Macaca fascicularis: one gene and its partners. The protein of the gene in region 4 purifies or fractionates together with the protein of the main gene of each other region. This does not show direct contact. Links are inferred from orthologs where the notes say so. Each region holds a gene or a part of one and is shown on either strand. Other genes may lie near its edges. The genes, in order: SKP2, CTNNA1, PLEKHA7 and CDH1.

What was found.
Region 1: the proteins of CDH1 (region 4) and SKP2 purify together in Homo sapiens (affinity purification with western blotting; 3 studies listed by BioGRID and IntAct, with this or other methods). This does not show direct contact. The link is inferred for Macaca fascicularis from reciprocal best matches to the Homo sapiens genes CDH1 and SKP2.
Region 2: the proteins of CDH1 (region 4) and CTNNA1 purify together in Homo sapiens (affinity purification with western blotting; 10 studies listed by BioGRID and IntAct, with this or other methods). This does not show direct contact. The link is inferred for Macaca fascicularis from reciprocal best matches to the Homo sapiens genes CDH1 and CTNNA1.
Region 3: the proteins of CDH1 (region 4) and PLEKHA7 purify together in Homo sapiens (co-immunoprecipitation; 3 studies listed by BioGRID and IntAct, with this or other methods). This does not show direct contact. The link is inferred for Macaca fascicularis from reciprocal best matches to the Homo sapiens genes CDH1 and PLEKHA7.

What each region holds. Positions count from the first base shown.
Region 1 is NC_088380.1:36,457,448-36,462,554, reverse strand, and holds part of SKP2 (S-phase kinase-associated protein 2), read right to left. Parts: coding exon 5,037-5,107; intron 3,144-5,036; coding exon 3,045-3,143; intron 1,890-3,044; coding exon 1,759-1,889; intron 1-1,758. UniProt on the Homo sapiens protein: Substrate recognition component of a SCF (SKP1-CUL1-F-box protein) E3 ubiquitin-protein ligase complex which mediates the ubiquitination and subsequent proteasomal degradation of target proteins involved in cell cycle progression, signal transduction and transcription.
Region 2 is NC_088380.1:145,281,607-145,286,713, reverse strand, and holds part of CTNNA1 (catenin alpha-1), read right to left. Parts: intron 3,988-5,107; 5' UTR 3,986-3,987; coding exon 3,881-3,985; intron 2,706-3,880; coding exon 2,510-2,705; intron 1-2,509. UniProt on the Homo sapiens protein: Associates with the cytoplasmic domain of a variety of cadherins. The association of catenins to cadherins produces a complex which is linked to the actin filament network, and which seems to be of primary importance for cadherins cell-adhesion properties.
Region 3 is NC_088388.1:48,947,713-48,952,819, forward strand, and holds part of PLEKHA7 (pleckstrin homology domain-containing family A member 7), read left to right. Parts: intron 1-2,900; coding exon 2,901-3,423; intron 3,424-4,274; coding exon 4,275-4,361; intron 4,362-5,107. UniProt on the Homo sapiens protein: Required for zonula adherens biogenesis and maintenance. Acts via its interaction with CAMSAP3, which anchors microtubules at their minus-ends to zonula adherens, leading to the recruitment of KIFC3 kinesin to the junctional site.
Region 4 is NC_088394.1:64,816,565-64,822,173, forward strand, and holds the start of CDH1 (cadherin-1), read left to right. Parts: upstream 1-1,752; 5' UTR 1,753-1,876; coding exon 1,877-1,924; intron 1,925-2,768; coding exon 2,769-2,883; intron 2,884-5,609.

The DNA of each region.
Region 1 (5,107 bases), on a different chromosome or scaffold from region 4:
ACCAAGACTGATGGAATTTCACACCAAGAGGATGCTCGTGGGTGGGAGTTTAAACTTCTTGGAGGAAAATTTGGCAGAAATTATCCAAAACTTGAGAATAGTACCTAATGCTGGACCCAGCAATTCCACTTTTAAGAATCCATCCTTAGAAATGCATCCAAAGATTTGTCTCTGTCACTCATAAAATTGTTTATAGTAGAGAAAAACTGGGAAGATTCTGAATGTCCATTAGAAGATCAACTGCATAAATTGTTATTGATTTAATATAAATTATTCCATATCCATTTGATGGACTATCACATAGCCACTGATGATGACATAATGTAGCCACTGAAAATGGGGTTATCTGGGGGGAAAAAAGCATATTACAAAGTATTTAATATACTATGTCCCATTTAAAAAAAACAGTGTTTGTACAGGAAAAAGCCTAGCAAGATGTTAGATTATTGATAATTTGCTTCCCTTTGCGTTTTTCTATATGTTGCATTTTTTAAAATGACTGTATAATGCTATGATCAGTTTTAAAATAGTAATTATAAATACTGGGTGGGGAGAGTGGTAAGAAATGAAGACATGATTGCTGCTTTTACGGCTTGCTAAAGAAAGTATTCACCTTGTCTGAAAATGCAAGTGTTTGGAATGGCAGTAGTCCAAATTTGAGTCCTTGCACAGGTGAAAGACTCAAATCTCTGCCCACTCATGAGAGGCTAGCAATTATTTTCTATAGCTTTATACATCTTACCAGAGGACGTCTGTCCTGGAGAAGTAGTTTTATACTACTTAAATTTTAAGATATATTCTGCAGATGTTTGATTCAAATCTTTTTCAGAATAATAAAAACTATAATAAACAAAATACACTCAAATAAGCTAGTACTAACATCGAGATACGGTTGATGTGTGTTGCTGGTTTAACTAGGTTTTGCATAGCCCACAAACTGAATGTTGGCCTGCGACGGTGAAGCCATTTAAAAAACTTGCCATTTGTAATCACTTATCTTTGCAAATCAAGATTTTCTCATTAACATACAAGTAACATACAAGATTTTCTCATTAACATTCAGTAACAAAGCGTAACTGAATATTAAGGTTTTTAAAGACTGTTCCCTGCTACCCCTGACTCCTAAGGCCTGTTTTCATCTAAAAAACCTCGTTGCCCTCTTGGACTGAATAAAAAGTAAAAGTCATAAATATGAACTTATTAACAGAGTTAATAACAGAGTTTTTCAACCTTGGAACTGATGTTTGGACCAGATTATTGTGCGTAATATGCTCCATCCTATACACCGTCCAGCAGCATCCTGGCTTCTGCCCAAGGAAGACCAGCAGCATTCCTACAGCTGTGACAATAAAAAATGTCTCCAGACATTGACAAATGTCCCCATACAGACAAAATAGCCCCATTAACTAATGAAGAACCACTATTTAATACTAATGAAATGCTACATTTATGTATTTTTATGTTGGAGTTTATCTAATCATTTAGTTGATTAAAAGTTTTTCTGCTTAAAAATAAATTGTTTTCAAGTGTAAAGGTTTCTACTGTTAGATCCTGAATTCAAACCTTGGCTCTAGCTCACTAGCTGTTTACCTTCACCTAACCCTTCTGATTTAGCAGCCACCTCATCTGCAAAAGGGGACTAACACATGCACTGGATTAAATGAGAAAACTTATGTGGAGGAACGATTAGGAGAAGCTCAATGAATCTCATCTATTACGTTGTGAAGGCCTCAGTGGTTCAGGCTTGGAAGCTCTAACCTGATTTCTGGAGGTTCTTTCTGTAGCCGCTAAGATTCAGCTGGGTGATGGTCTCTGACACATGCGCAACTGCCACCTGTACATGCTTTTCAGTGAAATCAAAACACCAGGAGAGGTTCAGCTCATCCAGTCTGCACAAAAGAGGGGTAATAAAGAAAATATGAAACCATGAAACCAATTAAAACTCACAGGAATGAGTTTGCCTCAAACCGCAAACAAAGAAAATGCAAAGCCATTGATTCCTTATCATTTCATGCATAGAACACCTGCTTCTCTAACAGCAGCTACCTCTAGTCTCCTAAGTATACCCTGTTTGCCCCTGAAAGTTGCCAGGGGATCAGAAGGGCCTTGGTGAATGCTGCCTCCTCCTGGAAATGGAGAGAAGCACTCTCTTCCTGATGGCTCAAACCTTATTCCAGTACTGCAGATAGAAATGCTAGTCTTTTATGTTTGCCTTCTCAGACTACCAACCACCCAACACAGACTGAACAATCACTCAGGATGTTTTATACAATTGAAGGATTGCACAAAAGAGATGCTGACATTGCAAAAAGCCACTTCATCTTACTGTGCCTCTGCTAACTGAGCAAAAACGAGGGTTTCAGAGACAAAATACAACCATGAATCCCCACTCCCCACTTCTGGCACTGCTGACTAAATATAGGGCTATACATTTGATCTCACTGATATCATTCATATCCGGAGGCAATCTATTTTAAATGGACCATTAACAAGACACAGATGTACCATGGAGACCAAGGGATATTTTTTAAAAACACACATATGCATAGTACTGTGTATTCCAAAAAGCATGTATTCCCCTCACTTAACAACATCTGTAACTCTGTACCCTTTATGTGCTGACATTATTATGAAAGCTATTGTTAATAGAATTGCCCAAATTTATGGTCTATATTTATAAAACACAAAATTTGATCAAAAATTGTAAGTTAGGTCTACAGATACCATAAGGGAAAAAACCTGAATGTATAGTTAAGTGTGAGTTGATTTCTTACAAATATACTGTTGACAGACACTACTATACTTCCCTTTCTTTAATAGTTCCAAATAAACAAAAGAGAGATAAAAAAGTATCGCTTGCAAACTCAATTGACTCGGCTCCTGAGTTTGGACAGAAAGTTTAGAGGACAAAAGACGCTGCATTCACCAAATCAAGAGCCTGGAAAGTTACAAAAAGCTCAAAAAGTTCATCCAATTTTATACAGATGTGAGGGATAATTTTACATTTGATATAAGAGTCTATAATCAAGTCACATCTTTCATACCTGGAACAGCTGCTTAGCAAAGTCTTCAGGGCAAATTCAGAGAATCCAGAACATCCAGAAAGGTTAAGCCGCACTAAATTTGAGTTTTGTGCGAGATTACTGGAAAAAGAGAAAAACGTCAGAAGAAAAAGACCAATAAGACGCTATTCATCAACAACATGTAGATGAAAGCAGGCAAGTGTAGTTAAGTTCATAGGTCTTTGAGTCAGTGAGTTTAAAATGTATATCACTATCTCTCAGACATCAAACAGGATAATTTGCCTCAGTTTACTCACCTGTGAAATGGCATTATCAAACCTTCTTGGTAGGGTTATCAAGAAGATTAAATGATATAATGTGATAAAAGACTTACTATGAAGCAAATACACAAGAATATCAATCAATGTACTTTTTGAATTAAAAACACAATGGAATAAACATATATCCATTTCACCCATAATTAGAATTAGCTTGCAAACTTCTACTTGTAAAATCACCAGGTTCTTTTGATTATACATCTCTCAAATTTGCCATCTTCTCTACTACATCCCCAAATGCCCTGTGTTAGTAAAACTTAGTGATTAAGAGTAAGAACTCTGGAAATAGTATATCACTAGGTTCACATCTTGGTTCAGCCACCTACTAACAGTGTGACCCTGAAAAGACTTATTCAGTCTCCCCATGTCTCAGTTTCCACAGCTATAAAAAGGAAACAAGTAAGATCACACTTCATGGGGTTGCTGTCAGAAGTAAATGAAAACGCATTTACAAAATTCACTATCTGGCACATAATACATGCCCCAAAACATTAGCTGCTATTATTGCTATCTGTTTTATATCAGACTTCAAAATTTCTCACTTGAATGAACACAGCAGTATCCTTAACTACTCTAGCTTCTTCTATCCTCGATGGACCCTCCATGGTGCCTGGCAAGTTCATTTCCTAAATTTCAACTCTTGACGTGTTCCTTCCACTCTCAGAACAACTCTCTCCACCATGCTTCCTTTTTTTTTTCAGATGGAGTTTTGCTCTTGTCACCGAGGCTGGAGTGCAGTGTCGTGGTCTCAGCTCATGGCAACCTCCGCCTCCCGGGTTCAAGTGATTCTCCTGCTTCAGTCTCCTGAGTAGCTGGGATTATAGGCATGCACCACCATACCCAGCTAAGTTTTGTATTTTTAGTAGAGACAGGGTTTCACCACGCTGGCCAGGCTGGTCTCAAACTCCTGACCTCAGGTGATCCGCCCACCTCAGCCTCCCAAAGTGCTGGGGTTACAGGTGTGAGCCACCGCACCTGGCCCATGCTTCCCTCTTGATGGAAGAGTCCATTCTTCTTACAGCAAGGCACAGGGGCCTATTACAATCTGGTCCCTGACTCTCCTCACCTCCTGTCATTCCCCTCCCTTAGTCCTGTGCTCCAGTAACTTCCAACCACGTAGAGTTTAGAACCACATAGGAAGCTTTACCTAGACTGGTTGCTTTATCTTATTACCTGGAGATCTCTTACCTAGATATCTTCAATACTCAAGAGTCACTTCCTTCCTCTAAGAAGGCGGCTCCTCGCGTGTTGCCACATATTCACCGAAATATTTAATAAACACACTAGCATGGTAATTATCTGTCTTGCTCATAAATAGTTTACCTTCTTGCAAGAGGAAACAGACATGTCTTGCTCGATGTTTCCTCTTGCAAGAAGGTAAACTATAGCTTAACCAGCATTCACTAACAATGTGGGAAAAGTTTTGGAGCATTCATTTTCTTCCAAATAATACACATGCATTGTTCATCCTTGTATCTCTAGAAACTAGCACAGGGCCTGGCATATAGTTAGCATTCAAGCTTCTGTTGCTTCAATGAGTCCTGAAAAGTTTTGCAGAAGCAAGAGCCCTGCACTAGAAATTTTCTGTATCCACCTGGATATGGCTAGAAGGGCACTCCAGTTATATATATATACAGGGAAAAAAATTCATACACATAAAAACAACTGCCTTTGCGACACTCCGGCTGCCACTCACTTGACAATGGGATCCGAAAGCCGCAGGCCTTCCAGGCTTAGATTCTGCAACTTGGAACACTGAGACAGTAT
Region 2 (5,107 bases), on a different chromosome or scaffold from region 4:
ATGATGATGGGAGGAAGTTATATTTTGGCTTTGGCTTTTTTCCCAAAGAGAAGGCAAATTATGGTGGATAGGTCATGACAATAAATAATTGCAAAACTGGACTAGGATAGACAAGTCCTTATGATTCAGAACCACATAAAAGATTATCATATATAAACAAAAATAACAAGAGAAATTCAGATATGCATTCAAAATTGTGGGGGTTTTGGGGAGCAGGGAATGTATCTTATACCATGATTGCTACATATCTGCATTGGAGAAACTTCTGAAATAAGAAACATATAAAGTCAACTTTAAAAATCACCTACAACAATTAAATGCATTTTGAAAATAAATGTGCCCAGGCACAGTGGCTCATGCCTGTAATCCCAACACTTCAGGAGGCCAAGGCAAGCAGATCACTTGAGGTCAGGAGTTCGAGACCAGCCTCCAATAAGGTGAAACCCCAACTATACTAAAAATACAAAAATTAGCCGGGTGTGGTAGCATACACCTGTAATCCCAGCTACTTGGAAAGCTGAGGCAGGAGAATCGCTTGAACCCAGAAGGTGGAAGTTGTGGTGAGCCAAGATCGCACCACTGCATCCCAGCCTGGGCGACAGCAAGACTCCAACTCAAAAAAAGAAAGAAAAGAAATGTCAATCACTAGACCCAGCAAACACTTGTCCAAACTCATCTGTTAATATAATTGTGAGCTTCGTTATAGCAGACAAGAAGGGCTGGGGAGGAGAATGTACCACAGAATACAATTAAGTAATAGCCTGATCTCTTCAACATCAAGCTCAAAAAAATTGTCCTGAACTGGACCATTAAACTACTTTAAAATAAATTAATTCAAAACCCACTGTACTGGGCTGAATAGCATCGCCCAAAAATTCACGTCCACCTGGAACCTGTGAATGTAACTTTATTTGGAAACAGTCTTTGCAGATGGTATCAAGTTACAATGAGGTTATACTGGAGTAAGGTGGGCCCTAATTCAATGCTTGATGTCCTTATAAGAAGAAGGAAATTTGGACACAGAGACACAAAAAAAGAAAAGTATATGATAACAAAAGCAGAGACTGGAGTAATGAGTCTACAAGCCAAGGAATGCTAAGGACTGCTGGCAACCACCAGAAGCTAGGAAAAAGGCATGCACAGATTCTTCCTAAGTCCCAACAAGGAATCAAGCCTGCCAACACCTCGATTTCAGATTTCTGCACTTCAGAATCATGAGAGAATAAATTTCTATTATTCTAAGCCACCAAGCTTGTCATAGTTTATGTTACAGAAGCCCTAGGAAACTAATATACCTGCTTAATTAGTACTGTGGAATTCTAATAATTTCATTTTCAGTATTAGAAATATTTATCTTCAGCCTGAAAACTGAAAAAATATTTACCACTGAAGGTTATTTGTTCACAAATTCAGAAAACAACTGGAGATGTCATCTCCATCTAAGACACTGCCCATTTTAGGGTACTGCCACAAGGATGAATTTGACATAAGACTCTGGACTATGCAATCTACCATCAGGTATGAAAGATCTATGAAGTTCTCCCAAGGGCTAGTAGAGCACCTGTAAATAGCAGGGCTCAATTTACCTTAGCTGATAGCCAATAACCTAAAAAACCTACAGCATTGTTGAAATTCTCTGACTGGAATAGAAACCTAACACAAAACCACAGGTTTCAAGGGTGGGGGCTGTGGCTCATGCCTGCAATCCCAGCACTTTGGGAGACCGAGGCAGGTGGATTGTTTGAGCTTGGGAGTTTGAGACCAGCATGAGCCACTGGTGAAACCCCATCTCTACTAAAAATAAAAACTGCAGGTTTCGAGAAGTTTACTTTCCATATTTAAAGTCTTCCTTCCACACTTGTAACACAGTAAGGACAATTTTTCTAGCATTAATTACTGGTAAACTGTGGATTACCATTTTACTTTTTATCAATTCTGAGTTTCCCAAAACATGATTCCTTTATGCCCAGATTTATTTAAGTCAAGCTCCAACCAGTGCAAATATGCATGGCTGATTTAACATACTAATCTGACATAACAGAACAATTTCTAGAGTATTTTCAGAGTAGGTATTTTTCTATTTTATCACACCCATCTCTTCAGCATGAATTAAAAAGTATTACATAGAATGAAAGGTAAACTTCTGTCCCATGTTTCCTATCAAATTGTGTTACAACATTTCTAAGACTTAACTATTACTTGAAACACCCAAGAGAAGTGGATTCAGATTCTCCAGATGTCCCTTTGCAAGCATCTCTCATGATTAAAATTTGAGCCAGTCCAACTTAATACATCTCCGATAACTAAGTTACTGAGCAATTGGCAAGCATGAGAATGAGAATTAAAATATGATCCAGTCCAAGTTAATACATCTCCAATAACTGAGTAAGTTACTGAGCAATTGGCAAGCATGAGAACTGAGAATACTGACCACAAAAAAAATCTCCTTCAAACACTTATTTTCTAGAAAGGCCTGCCTCTCTTTACATGAAAAGCAGTAATGACCTACCTTGTTTTCGAACATCTTCTACAGCAGCCACAAGCTCCTCCTTGAGAAACTGGCTCTCCTTCGCAATTTTATCCCCCTTCTCCAAGAAATTCTCAGTTGCTTGTTCAACAGATGCAGCCAAAACATGAGCCTTCTTAGAACGACCTCTCTTCTTATTAGAGGGCCCCTTACTATTGGTGTTTACCAGGGTTGTAACCTAAAAGTTTCATTTTTAACATTAAACTGGAGTCAATTAAAATGACTAATATCTTTAAAGATAGCAAGATTAAGTTATTCTTTAAAAAAATCACATTTATGAGATTCCACTGAGCATTAACATACAATTCCCCATATTTAAGATATACAGCAATGATACTATATTTAATTTCCAAAATAACTCAGCTTTCTCAATGTGTACAGAATTATTTAACACATATTTTAATTTCTCAAATATGATCATTAGGTTTTTAGTTTGATTTTACAAATTAAAAAATGATTAGAGACAAGCTAGATGTCTCTACTATATGTCACCCATATAGTATCTGGAACACTCTATGTTCCAGAAATAGGTTAACAATGAACTTAGCTTTATCTGGAGATCGTACTGCCACTGTTTTCAAACTTTGCAAAATGTTTTAAGATAATTTGCTTCTGAAGTCTTTTCACGGTTTATTCACACAAATCTCAGCAATTTATTAGTAAAGGCCCCTAATAAAGGAATGACTGCCCAAAGAAGCCTACAGTGATGATGCTTTATGTCCTAGAACATTACCATCATTAATACACATAATACCGGATGATCTGTAGGTTAAAGATGATTAAGATATGTTACAGTGCAAATTTGCCAAACAAGACTCATTTTCTCTCTCTCTCTGAATCTCTCACATACAGACAACAGACACACTATTGCAAAACACTAAAGGTACACAGCTAGTTGCTAACAGTTTATGAACCACCCTAACATTGTGACATTTATAACATAATATACCAAACCTAAACCCTCAAGTTCAATTACCTGCTAATTAATCCCACACAATGAAAGGTGTGTTAAGCAGAGTGAGACACCTTAACAATCAAGGATCCAGATCCCACCTTTCTTGGGTTTCCCCTCTAAAGAAAGGTGAAGTATCTGCAAAGCACAAACATTTGCAAAGTTGCACTACATACCACGGACCCCAGTTACTAGCAATAAGACCGAAGAAAATGACCACAGCAGCGTTCTCAAAGGGTTAAACAAACCCATGCATCAATATTCAAATCATCTAAGAACTGTCACCTAAACTCAAGTACTGGAATTAAGGCTTTGAACTAAATAACCTTGCTCTTATGGTTGTTACCCAGGCCTGTACTATAGAACCAGGTTACAATGTATTTGTGTTTTCAGATTCTTACCTGTGTAACAAGAGGCTCCAACAGTCTCTCAACTGCCAGAGTCCTGATCTCTAGACTTTTGGGATCCCACTTGAAGTTTATGTTGCCTGCCTGGACAGCAGTCATTTCTAAAAAAGAAACAAAAAATCAGTCAAGCAAACATCAAACACAAACATGAAATATGTAACAAATCTTCTCCTACTTAAATCTTCTCCTACTTTGGGACTTTTGCATCAGGAAAGTTATATTCACTACAGATGAAAAAATTCTAACTAGCCTGCACATGAGGACCCAGTAAACCTTACAATCTCTTAAAATTTAATCATTTCAGGCTTACAAATACTAGGGGTACTACAAGAGGGCATTCCCAAACACACAGAACGTTTCCCTTTGGGCTTCTCTAGCGCAAGACTTCCTACTTCAGTTCCTACTCAGTTTATCTGCCCAATCTTTTAGAAACAAGATGAAAAGCTAAAGTAAACCTTTTTTTTTTTTTTTTTTTCTTTTTCTTTTTTTGAGACGGAGTCTCACTCTTTCGCCCAGGCTGGAGTGCAGTGGTGTGATCTCGGATCACTGCAAGCTCCACCTGCCGGGTACACACCATTCTCCTGCCTCAGCCTCCCAAGTAGCTGGGACTACAGGCGCCCGCCACCACGCCCAGCTAATTTTTTTGCATTTTCAGTAGAGACAGGGTTTCACCGTGTTAGCCATGATAGGATAGTCTCGATCTCCTGACTTCGTGATCCACCCGCCTTGGCCTCCCAAAGTGCTGGGATTACAGGTGTGAGCCACCACGCCCAGCCGAAAGCTACTTTCAAAGACATTGCTTCAAAAACGAATACAGAAGATCCTGATTTTTCCTACTCCACAACATTTATGGTATAGTAGTATCTAAAAGGTATGCCTCACTTCATTTTTTGATGGATTCCTAGAGAAGGACTTGTCCTATTCTATTAAAACTTAATGCTTAATCGGTTGCCCTCTGCACCCACAGCTATTATCACTCATAGCCAGAAGAAATTTCAAATCACACTTAGTCAAATATCACTGTATCAGTGTCAAGGGAAACTTCTGTCAGACAGCAGCTTTAAGAATAGGGAGAAAACATCAACGAAAATAACAGTCTTTTCTTCTAAAAGTAGTGCCTTAAATTATTAAAGAAAAAAAAAGAAAAGGCATGAAGTTGAGGTAAACACTAATATAAACTTTCTAGACAACGAACTGCTGGTAGACACCTAAAAGCATAAA
Region 3 (5,107 bases), on a different chromosome or scaffold from region 4:
GAGGATTCAGGCACTGCCCCGTCTCAGAGGCACATTTGTGTCTAACTTTGGGAAATCAATAGCAAACCCTGCCACCTAGTGACAGGCTGACTCACTTGGCAGGCGCGACAAGTAGGTTGAAGAGATCTTAAAGTTATCTCCTGCAATGGCAAAGATAGCTTTATTTGAATGACAACTATTTCAAATCCTCACAGCAATTTTCAAAATGGTTCTTACTATCCCCATTTTGTAATAAGGAAAGTGAGACTTAGAGGGCTTGGATGATACTTGCCTGAAGTCATATAGCTAAAGTGATTAAATGAGTTGAGTTTTAAAACAATTAGAACAGTTTCTCAAACTTTACAGAGCACTAGAATCTCCTGGAGGGCTTGTTAAGACACTGATGCCTGGGCGCCATCCCCTGATTAGGTAGGTCTGAGGTGGGGCTGATAACAAGCATTTTAAAAATATATCTTATTTTTAATTGACAAATAACGATTATATGTATGGGATAGATGTGGTGTTTTAATATATGTATACATTGTGAAATGATTACATCAAACCAATTGACATATTCATCACCTTATCTGCTTATTCTTTTTGGTGATAAGAACATTTAAAATCTACTTTTAGTAATTTTGAAATATACATTATTATTAACCATTGTCACTATGCCTGTGCTGTAGGTCACCAGAACTTATTCCTCCTAACTGAAACTTTGCACCCTTGGACCAACAGCTCCTCTTCCATCTCTCTTATCCCTCCCAAACCTCTGGTAACCACCTCTCTACTTTGTTCTTCTATGAGTTTGACCTTTTTAGATCCCACATATAAGTGAGGTCATACACAGTATTTGTCTTTCCATGCCTGGCTTATTTCATTAACTTGCATTTTTAACAAGTCCCCAGGTGGTGCTGATGCTGGTGGCACACAGGCCACACTTTGAGTAGTGTTGGCTTGGAACAATGTCTGCAACAATGTCAGCACCAAATAAATGTTAGATAAAATTGATAGGTGAAGGCGGAGTCAGAATTGACCTCAAGCCTGTCTGACTATAAAACTTGTTTTCTTTTTACAACATCATGCTGCCTCTCAGGCTTAGTAAAATTCCATACTTCGTCCCTTGCTTAATTTTTTTTCCTTCTCAGAAAATAAAGTGGAGGCTGGGCACGGTAGCTCATGCCTGTAATCCCAGCACTTTGATAGGCTAAGGCAGGCAGATCTCTTGAGGTCAGGAGTTCAAGACCAGCCTGGCCAACATGGTGAAACCCTGCTTCCACTAAAAATACAAAAATTAGCCAGGCATGGTGGTGCACACCTGTAGTCCCAGCTACTCAGAAGGCTGAGGCAGGAGAATCCCTTAAACCCGGGAGGTGGAGGTTGCAGTGAGCAGAGATTGCACCACTGCACTCCAGCCTGGGCAAAAGAGCAAGAATCTGTCTCAAAAAAGAAAGAAAATAAGATGCCTAGTTGGTGGTAGTTTTTGAAATCATATCCAGCTTTGTGTGCTGGAGTGTTTATTGAAGGGCTAATTATGCATAGGACTTTCTTAGACTGTGGACAATACCATGGTCTGAAACACAGCTCCTGTCTTTCAAGAATTTTCACCTTGGCCTGGGAAAACATGTCTTGCAAGTATGAAAAGATCACATCAATATAGGACCTTGGAAAAGTTACAGGCAGTGTGATAACTAGGTCAAACAGAGCTGGATCACTGAGGGCTGTGGCACTGCAGAAGGTCCACATGGGGAAGGCATGGGCCAGCATCCTGGAGAATGAGTAAGACTTGGGTAAATAGAGCAAGGGGAGACCATCCAGGTAGGGGGAGGGAAGAACAGTGTTATAAGAGTAAGGAGGGACAGGAAGGGTACACACGTTAGTGAAGGACCTTCTGTGTATCAGACATGGAGATTGCATTTCCTAACCTGTCTCATTGATTCCTCAGAAGAGCCTTATGAGGCAGGTAATACTGTCCTCATGTTAGAAGTAAGGAAATGGAAGTTCAGAGTCAGGTAAGCTGCCTAGGGTCACAAAGCCAGCAAGTATAAAGCTCGGCTTCAAACCCAGGTTAGACTCCTACCTTTCCTTTTTCCACTGCAAGATATTGCTCAGGTGTGGAGGAGGCTGGGCCAGGACTAGGGTGGGGCTGACTGTCAGGCACCAGCACGTGCAGGGGTGACCCTGAGATGGAGTACTTCCTTCAGTTTTGGGCCCTAGGCATTTGGCGTGGCCCTGGTAGGAAGAGCAGTGAGAAAATAGCAGGCCTGCAAGGTGGGTTGAGGTCAGCTGCTAGCGAGCTGTGAGTACCAGGCTGAGGAGTTTAGACTTTATTTCACAAGTGACAAGGAGCCATAGAAATTTTTGAAATAGGGAACTGATTTGATCAGAGCACTTGACTGTGGACAAAGTAGAAACCAGTTAGGAGCATCTCAAAGTTATCTGGAGGGAGATAATTAATCAGTATCTGGTCTAGAATAGTCCAGAAAAAAGAGAACTGATGCCAGCTACTTCCTTTATGAACCTCCAGAACTTGGTGCTAAGGATACCAAGCAGAGAGAAAATCTTGGTAACCTGGAGAATTGTGAGGCCTTTTCTATAAATATGCACAGCCGTGGAAAGAGCTGACTGCTGGCAGTGGAGAGAGAAGGAAAAGCCAGGTTTAATCACATTGCACTCCAATTGATGGGCATGGGGTAGCCAAGTTGTCCTGGCAGAGGAAGTTGACAGAGAAAAATGGTTTTGGAGTTGTCTGCAAAAAGGGGAAGTGACTGAAGTCCTGGATGTCAGCCTTGATCATTCTTTTGGGGTTCTCATAGGACTCTCCCACATGCCCAGCTTTGTGGGTTTACTTAGGTATATTCCCCAAAGCCTGGCAGAACCCTCACTTGGTGGCCTGACGTGTTCTTACCTTTTCTTCTCAGTCTTCCCTTGGACCAGACGCTTCCTCGCCAGGGTCCTGGCCAATCCCTGTCCTTCCCAGAAAACTACCAGACTCTTCCCAGGAGCACCCGACACCCCTCGGGGGGCTCCTCGCCACCTCCCCGAAACCTGCCAAGTGACTACAAGTACGCGCAGGACCGAGCCAGCCACCTGAAGATGTCGAGTGAAGAGCGCCGGGCGCACCGGGATGGCACCGTGTGGCAGCTCTATGAGTGGCAGCAGCGCCAGCAGTTCCGGCACGGCAGCCCCACGGCACCTATCTGCCTCGGCTCCCCAGAGTTCACTGACCAGGGCCGGAGCAGGAGCATGCTAGAGGTGCCCCGCTCCATCTCTGTGCCTCCATCTCCCTCGGACATCCCTCCCCCGGGACCCCCAAGGGTCTTCCCACCCCGGCGGCCACACACGCCAGCAGAACGAGTCACAGTGAAGCCACCGGACCAGAGGAGGAGTGTGGACATCTCACTGGGGGATTCTCCAAGGAAGGCACGGGGCCACGCTGTCAAGGTGAGGCTCGAGAAGCTCTGCCAGGCTGCTGGGTCAGCGTGAGGGTGCCAGGAGCCTTGCCTGGTTTGAACACAAATTTGAGTAATTTGGGATAATAATGATAGCTAATACTTAGGCAGTACATTTAATTTACATTTAAGATGCCAGGCACAGTTCCCAAAGGCTTCGCTTTAAATTCTCACCACAACCCTGTGAGGTAGGTGCTATGTTTATGCCCATTTCAAAGATGAGAACTCGGCCGGGCGCGGTGGCTCACGCCTGTAATCCCAGCACTTTGGGAGGCCGAGGCGGGCGGATCACAAGGTCAGGAGATCGAGACCACGGTGAAACCCCGTCTCTACTAAAAATACAAAAAATTAGCCGGGCGCGGTTGTGGGCGCCTGTAGTCCCAGCTACTCGGGAGGCTGAGGCAGGAGAATGGCGTGAACCCGGGAGGCGGAGCTTGCAGTGAGCCGAGATCGTGCCACTGCACTCCAGCCTGGGCGACAGAGCGAGACTCCGTCTCAAAAAAAAAAAAAAAAAAAAAAAAAGATGAGAACTCTGAGGCGCGGAGAGACAAAGTAACTTGCAGGGGGTCACACAACTACAAGTCAGCTTCCTTGCAGCTTGAAAGGCAGGAAAAGACATGTGTCCAGTCAGTTAAACTATTTATAACAACCCAGCTTAAGTTTTCACTTTCCAAGGGCTTTCACCGTTTAGTGTTCTAACCGTAAGAGTAAGATACGTGTGCTCATTTCATAGATGAGGAGTCTGGGGCTCAGAGGGGACCCAGGTGGCATGGGGCGGGCTGCCCTGGGAGTGGGTGGCAGAGGTTTGGGCTCCAGTGTGACTTCTTGTCTTCCCACTTGCAGAACTCGTCTCACGTGGACCGACGCTCCATGCCCTCCATGGGTTACATGACCCACACCGTCAGTGCTCCCAGTTTACATGGAAAATCGGTAAGGTGAATGACAAGACACAGCCTGCAATGCCCTATCTCATCAACGTTTTCCTTCCTCTGAGTCAGTACAATGCAGTCCACAGGGCAGCTATCAACTCCCATTTTAGAGATGAGGAAACTGAGACTCAGAGAAGTCGAATGACTTGCTTAGGGTCACCTGGCTGTCACTGGGTCCCCAATGAAGGGGAAGAGCTTGTGGGGGAATGTAGGGGAATGTTAGGCTTATCTCCTCTTTCAAGCTGAATTTTGCCATAAATGTTTTCCAGCTACTCACCTTTTTCCGCAGGTAGTGCCTCTCCTCTCTTCCCTGATCTTTGATTAATTAATTAGTTAACTCTATCTTCAAAGCTTGAGTCCGAGACCAGGCATGGTGGTTCATACCTGCAATCCTAGCACTTTGGGAGACCGAGGTGGGTGGATCACTTGAGGCCAGGAGTTCAAGACCAGCCTCGCAAACATGGCGAAACCCCGTCTCTACTAAAAATACAAAAATTAGCTGGGTGTGTTGGTATACTCCTGTGATCCCAGGTATTCGGAAGGCTGAGATATGAGAACTCAGGAGGTGGAGTTTGCAGTGAGCCAAAATCATGCTCACGCTGCTGCACTCCAGCCTAAGTGACAGAGCAAGACTGTCTCAAAGCAGAAGAAAAAAAAAAAGCTTGGGTCTGGGTGAGGTTGCACTGTTGGTTGTTGCTTTCCTGAAAAACAACTTCCTGAAGCCCTTTTACTGCCAGTGCTTTTATT
Region 4 (5,609 bases):
AAAAAAAAAAAAAAAAAAAAAAAAAAAAAAGAGCTGGTCAGTGTCAAATGCTTAGTACAGAGACTGGCACAGTAATCTTCAATGCCTAGCACCTATCGTTACTGTTTTTTTTTTTTTTGAGACAGACTCTCCCTCCGTCACCCAGGCTGGAGTGCAGTGGCGCGATCTCAGCTCACTGCAAGCTCTGCCTCCCGGGTTCACACCATTCTCCTGCCTCAGTCTCCCAAGTAGCTGGGACTATAGGCACCCACCACCATGCCTGGCTAATTTTTTGTATTTTTAGTAGAGATGGGGTTTCATTGTGTTAGCCAGGATGGTCTCGATCTCCTGACCTCGTGATCCGCCCGCCTCGGCCTCCCAAAGTACTGGAATTACAGGCGTGAGCCACTGCACCCGGCCCTGTTGTTACTATTTTTACCCCTCACTTCTGTACAGAGCATTTATGGCTCAAGAAACATTTGTCATTTATTGTATGGGAGCCTCACAACAACATAGGGAGACATTTCTGATCATTATTCCCATTAGGAGGGTGGAGAAACTGAGGCTTTGGGAGGTGGTCCTGACCTAGGGAATCAATTTGCTGACTCACTAACCCATGGAGCCCTGCAGTTAAAAAAAGACTAGATTAAAAAATAAGAACTCAATAAAGGGGCTGAGGCAGGAGTATCACCTGAGGTCAGAAATTTGAGATCAGCCTGGGCAACATAGTGAGATCCCGTCTCTAGAAAAATTTTTTTAAAAATTAGGCCACTTGAGGCAGGTTGCAGTGGCTCACGCCTGTAATCCCAGCACTTCAGGAGGCGGAAGAGGGTGGATCACCTGAGGTTAGGAGTTCCAGACCAGCCTGGCCGACACAGTGAAACCCCATCTGTACTAAAAATACAAAATTAGTTGGTCTGGTGGCACAAGCCTGTAGTCCCAGCTACTCAATAGGCTGAGACAGGAGAGTCGCTTGAACCCAGCAGGCAGAGGTTGCAGTGAGCCAAGATCGTGCCACTGCACTCCAGCCTGGGCAAGACAGAGTGAGACTCTGTCTCAAAAAACAAACAAACAAAACACACAAAAAATTAGGCTGCTAGCTCAGTGGCTCGTGGTTCACACCTATAAGCCCAGTACTTTGGGAGGCCAAGGAAGGAGGATCACTTCAGCCCAGGAGTTGGAGACCAGGCTGGGCAATATAGGGAGACACAGCGCCCCCACTGCCCCTGTCTGCCCCGACTCGTCTCTCTACAAAAAGACAAAAGAAAAAAAAAATTAGCCTGGTGTGGTCGTGTGCACCTGTACTCCCAGCTACTAGAGAGGCTGGGGCCAGAGGACTGTTTGAGGCCAGTTCAAGGCTGCAGTGAGCTGTGATCGCACCACTGCACTCCAGCCTGGGTGAAAGGGTGAGACCTCATTTCCAAAACAAACAAAAAAACAAAAACAAAAACAAACCCCAAAAAACAAAAGAACTCAGCCAAGTGTAAAAGCCCTTTCTGATCCCAGGTCTTAGTGAGCCACCAGCGGTGCTGGGATTCGAACCCAGTGGAATCAGAACCGTGCAGGTCCCATAACCCACCTAGACCCTAGCAACTCCAGGCTAGAGGGTCACCGGGTCTGCGCGAGGCCGGGGGGGCGGGCCGTTAGCTCCGTCCGGGGGAGGGGTCCGCGCTGCTGATTGGCTGTGGCCGGCAGGTGAACCCTCAGCCAATCAGCGGTACGGGGGGCGGTCCCTCCGAGGCACACCTGGCGGCAGCAGCGCACCCCAGTCTCAGTGGCGTCGGAACTGCAAAGCACCTGTGAGCTCGCGGAAGTCAGTTCAGACTCCAGCCCGATCCAGCCCGGCCCGATCCGACCGCACCCCGCCCCTGCCCTCGCTCGGCGTCCCCGGCCAGCCATGGGCCCTTGGAGCCGCAGCCTGTCGGCGCTGCTGCTGCTGCTGCAGGTACTTCGGGTCCCCTGCCTTGCGAGGGACGCGTGCGGGCCGCACACTCTGCGCCCCAGCCCCCCGCCCCAGCCCTGCGCCCCTTCCTCTCCCGTAGTCACCGCTTCCCTTCTTCCAAGAAAGTTCGGGTCCCGAGGAGCCGAGCGGCCTGGAAGCCTCGCGCGCTCCGGACCCCGCAGTGATGGGAGTGGGGCGTGGGTGGTGAGGGGCGAGCGCGGCTTTGCTGCCCCTCCAGCGCAGACCGAGGCGGGGGCGTCTGGCTTCCGAGTCCGCGGGGTGGGCTTGGGCTGGCGCGGGGGTCGTGGAGCGGGGTGTGGGGGGTGGGGTGTGGAGAAGGGGAGCCCCGGTGCAAGTCGAGGGGGAGCCAGGAGTCGTGGGGACGATCCTCGAGGGAAGGAGAGGGGCATCCGTAGAAATAAAGGCACCTGCTATGCCAAGAAAGGTCGTAAATAGAAGTGGGAGTCCCGGGGATAAGAAAGTGGGGTCGGGGGAGGTGGGAGCGCCCCTCGCTCTAAGGAGTGGTGCATTCCCGGTCTAAGGAAAGTGGGGTTGGGGAGAATAAAGACATCTCCAATAAAATGAGAAAGGAGACCGAAAAGAACGATGGGCTAGGTCTCGAGGGGGTGACTCGGCGGCCCCCTTCCGGGAGTTTCTGGGGGCTTGGCGGCCGTAGGTTTCGGGGTGGGGGAGGGTGACGTCGCTGCCCGCCCTGCCCGAGGTTGGGGGCGGGGGTCCTCCCCCAATCCCGACGCCGGGAGCGAGGGAGGGGCGGCGTTGTTGGTTTCGGTGAGCTGGAGGGAACCCTCCGAGTCACCCGGTTCCATCTACCTTTTCCCCACCCCAGGTCTCGTCTTGGCTCTGCCAGGAGCCGGAGCCCTGCCACCCCGGCTTTGACGCCGAGAGCTACACGTTCACGGTGCCCCGGCGGCACCTGGAGAGAGGACGCGTCCTGGGCAGAGGTGAGGGCGCGCCGCCGGTGTCCCTGGGCGGAGTAGGGTGGGGTTGGAAAGGGGCCGAGAAATTGCACTCCCACACCCCTGGGTTGGAATGGGCAAGCTCTCTCCTTGGCTCAAACGACACCCCTTGGAATTTACACAGATTTGGGGATCCAAACGTTTACGACTGAGCACTGGTGGAGGGGGTAGCCCTGCCTGGTTGTTAACCATGTTATAAAAAAGCAGAGGTTGAGGGCACTTACTAGAAGCCTTCGTATTTCTCTTATTGCCCTCAGCACTGTAGAGACAGTGTCCCATTTCAGACTGCAAAAACCTGGTGGGTGGGAAGGCTCCGGCAGGAATATTCCCGTTTTACAGATGAGCAAACCGAGGCTGAGAGGGTGACGTCTACTTGCCCAGGGTCAGCAGAGCAGGTATCTGAACTGGGACCTGACTCCCAAGCCCCATTAAGCACCATCTCTGGGATGACTGAAGAGCAGCTCTCTCTTGGTTACTGGGCTGTGGCTTTTGTTTATAGATATTAAAGCTTTTTTTTTTTTTTTTTTTTTTTTTTAAAAAAAAAAAAAAGGGTCTTGCTCTGTTTCCCAAGCTGGAGTGCAGTGGCACAATCACAGCTTACTGCAGCCTCCATCCTCTGGGCTCAAGTGATCCTTCCCACCTCAGTCTCCCTAGTAGCTGGTTATCACAGGCATGTGCCACCATACCTGGATAATTTTAACTTTTTTTTTTTTTGAAACGGAGTCTCGCTCTGTCACCCAGGCTGGAGTGCAGTGGCCGGATCTCAGCTCACTGCAAGCTCCGCCTCCCGGGTTTACGCCATTTTCCTGCCTCAGCCTCCCGAGTAGTTGGAACTACAGGCGCCCGCCACCTCGCCCGGCTAGTTTTTTGTAGTTTTTAGTAGAGACGGGGTTTCACCGTGTTAGCCAGGATGGTCTCGATCTCCTGACCTCGTGATCCGCACGTCTCGGCCTCCCAAAGTGCTGGGATTACAGGCTTGAGCCACTGCGCCCGGCCAATTTTAACATTTTTTTAAGGCTGGGCGCAGTGGCTCACACCTGTAATCCCAGCACTTTGGGAGGCCGAGGCGGGTGGATCACAAGGTTAGGAGTTCGAGACCAACCTGGCCAACATGATGAAACCCTGTCTCTACTAAAAAAAATACAAAAATTAGCTGGGCATGGTGGCGTGCACCTGTAATCCTAGCTACTCAGGAGGAGGCAGGAGAATTGCTTGAACCCAGGAGGTGGAGGTTGCAGTGAGCTGAGATAGTGCCACTGCACTCGAGCCTGGGTGACAGAGCAAGACTCTGTTCCAAAAAATAAACTAAAATAAATTTTTTTTAGAAACAGGAGTCTCTCCATGTTGCCCAGGCTGGTGTCGAACTCTTGGGCTCAAAGGATCCTTCTGTCTCAGCCTCCCAAAGTGCTGGGATTGCAGGCCTGAGACACTGTGCCTGAACCAAAATACCTTGTTACAGGTACTGTTTCCCCCAAGAAATAATGATTTTTTTTTTTTGAGACAGAGTTTTAATCTTGTTGCCTAGGCTGGAGTGTTGTAATGGTGTGATCTCAGCTCACTGCCACCTCTGGCTCGCAGGGTCAAATGATTCTCCTGCCTCAGCCTCCTGAGTAGCTGGGATTACAGGTGCCCACCACCATGCCCAGCTAATTTTTTGTATTTTTAGTAGAGAAGGAGTTTCACCATGTTGGCCAGGCTGGTCTTGAACTCCTGACCTCAGGAGACCACCTGACTCAATTTCCCAAAGTGCTGGGATTACAGGCATAAGCCACCATGCCTGGCCAGGAATAATTATCTTTTTTTTAAAAAAAAAGCATGGTAGTTCTGACTCAGGATGAAAATGCATACACCCAATGTACTTCTAGGCTTATCTTTGTGATAATCTAGAGTTTGCTTTGTTCCACTCCACTGTTGTCCAGGGAGCAAGGGAAGGGGCTAGTTTCTCTTCTGAATTCACTGAATCCCGAGTGCTTACTTTATATCAAACCACTTTCTCCTCTCTCATGATTTTAGTTGATTGGATATCACAATAAAAGGCATATTTTTTTTTAAGGAGAAATCACCCACAATTCCCCTGAGGGAACACCTCCATTGTGTCTATTCTTCTGGTCTTTGACCACATGAATCTTTAGCAATCATGCTGTTGTCTTTAAATTTTTTTTTGAACTTGGAAGTCATTCGAAGTTTTTTTTTGTTTTGTTTTGTTTTTTTTTTTTTTTTTGAGACGGAGTCTCACGCTGTTGCCCAGGCTGGAGTGCAGTGGCGCGATCTCGGCTCACTGCAAGCTCCGCCTCCCGGGTTCCCGCCATTCTCCTGCCTCAGCCTCCTGAGTAGCTGGGACTACAGGCGCCCGCCACCGCGCCCGGCTAATTTTTTGTATTTTTTTAGTAGAGACGGGGTTTCACTGTGGTCTCGATCTCCTGACCTTGTGATCCGCCCGCCTCGGCCTCCCAAAGTGCTGGGATTACAGGCTTGAGCCACCGCGCCCGGCCTCATTCGAAGTTTTTTACAGAGAAACTACAGCTCGACTGATGAAGTATATTTGCTCTGTGTGCTCTAGAGCTTTCTATTGGATCAGAAGTTATCTAAAACTCCTGGGCTCAAGTGAGTCACCCACCTTGGCTTCCCAGAGTGCTGGGGATTGAATATTTTGATGTCAGTAGGCATTGAGGAGCGTCTTCTTGGGGGAGGCAAGCTTGATCTAGCCTTGG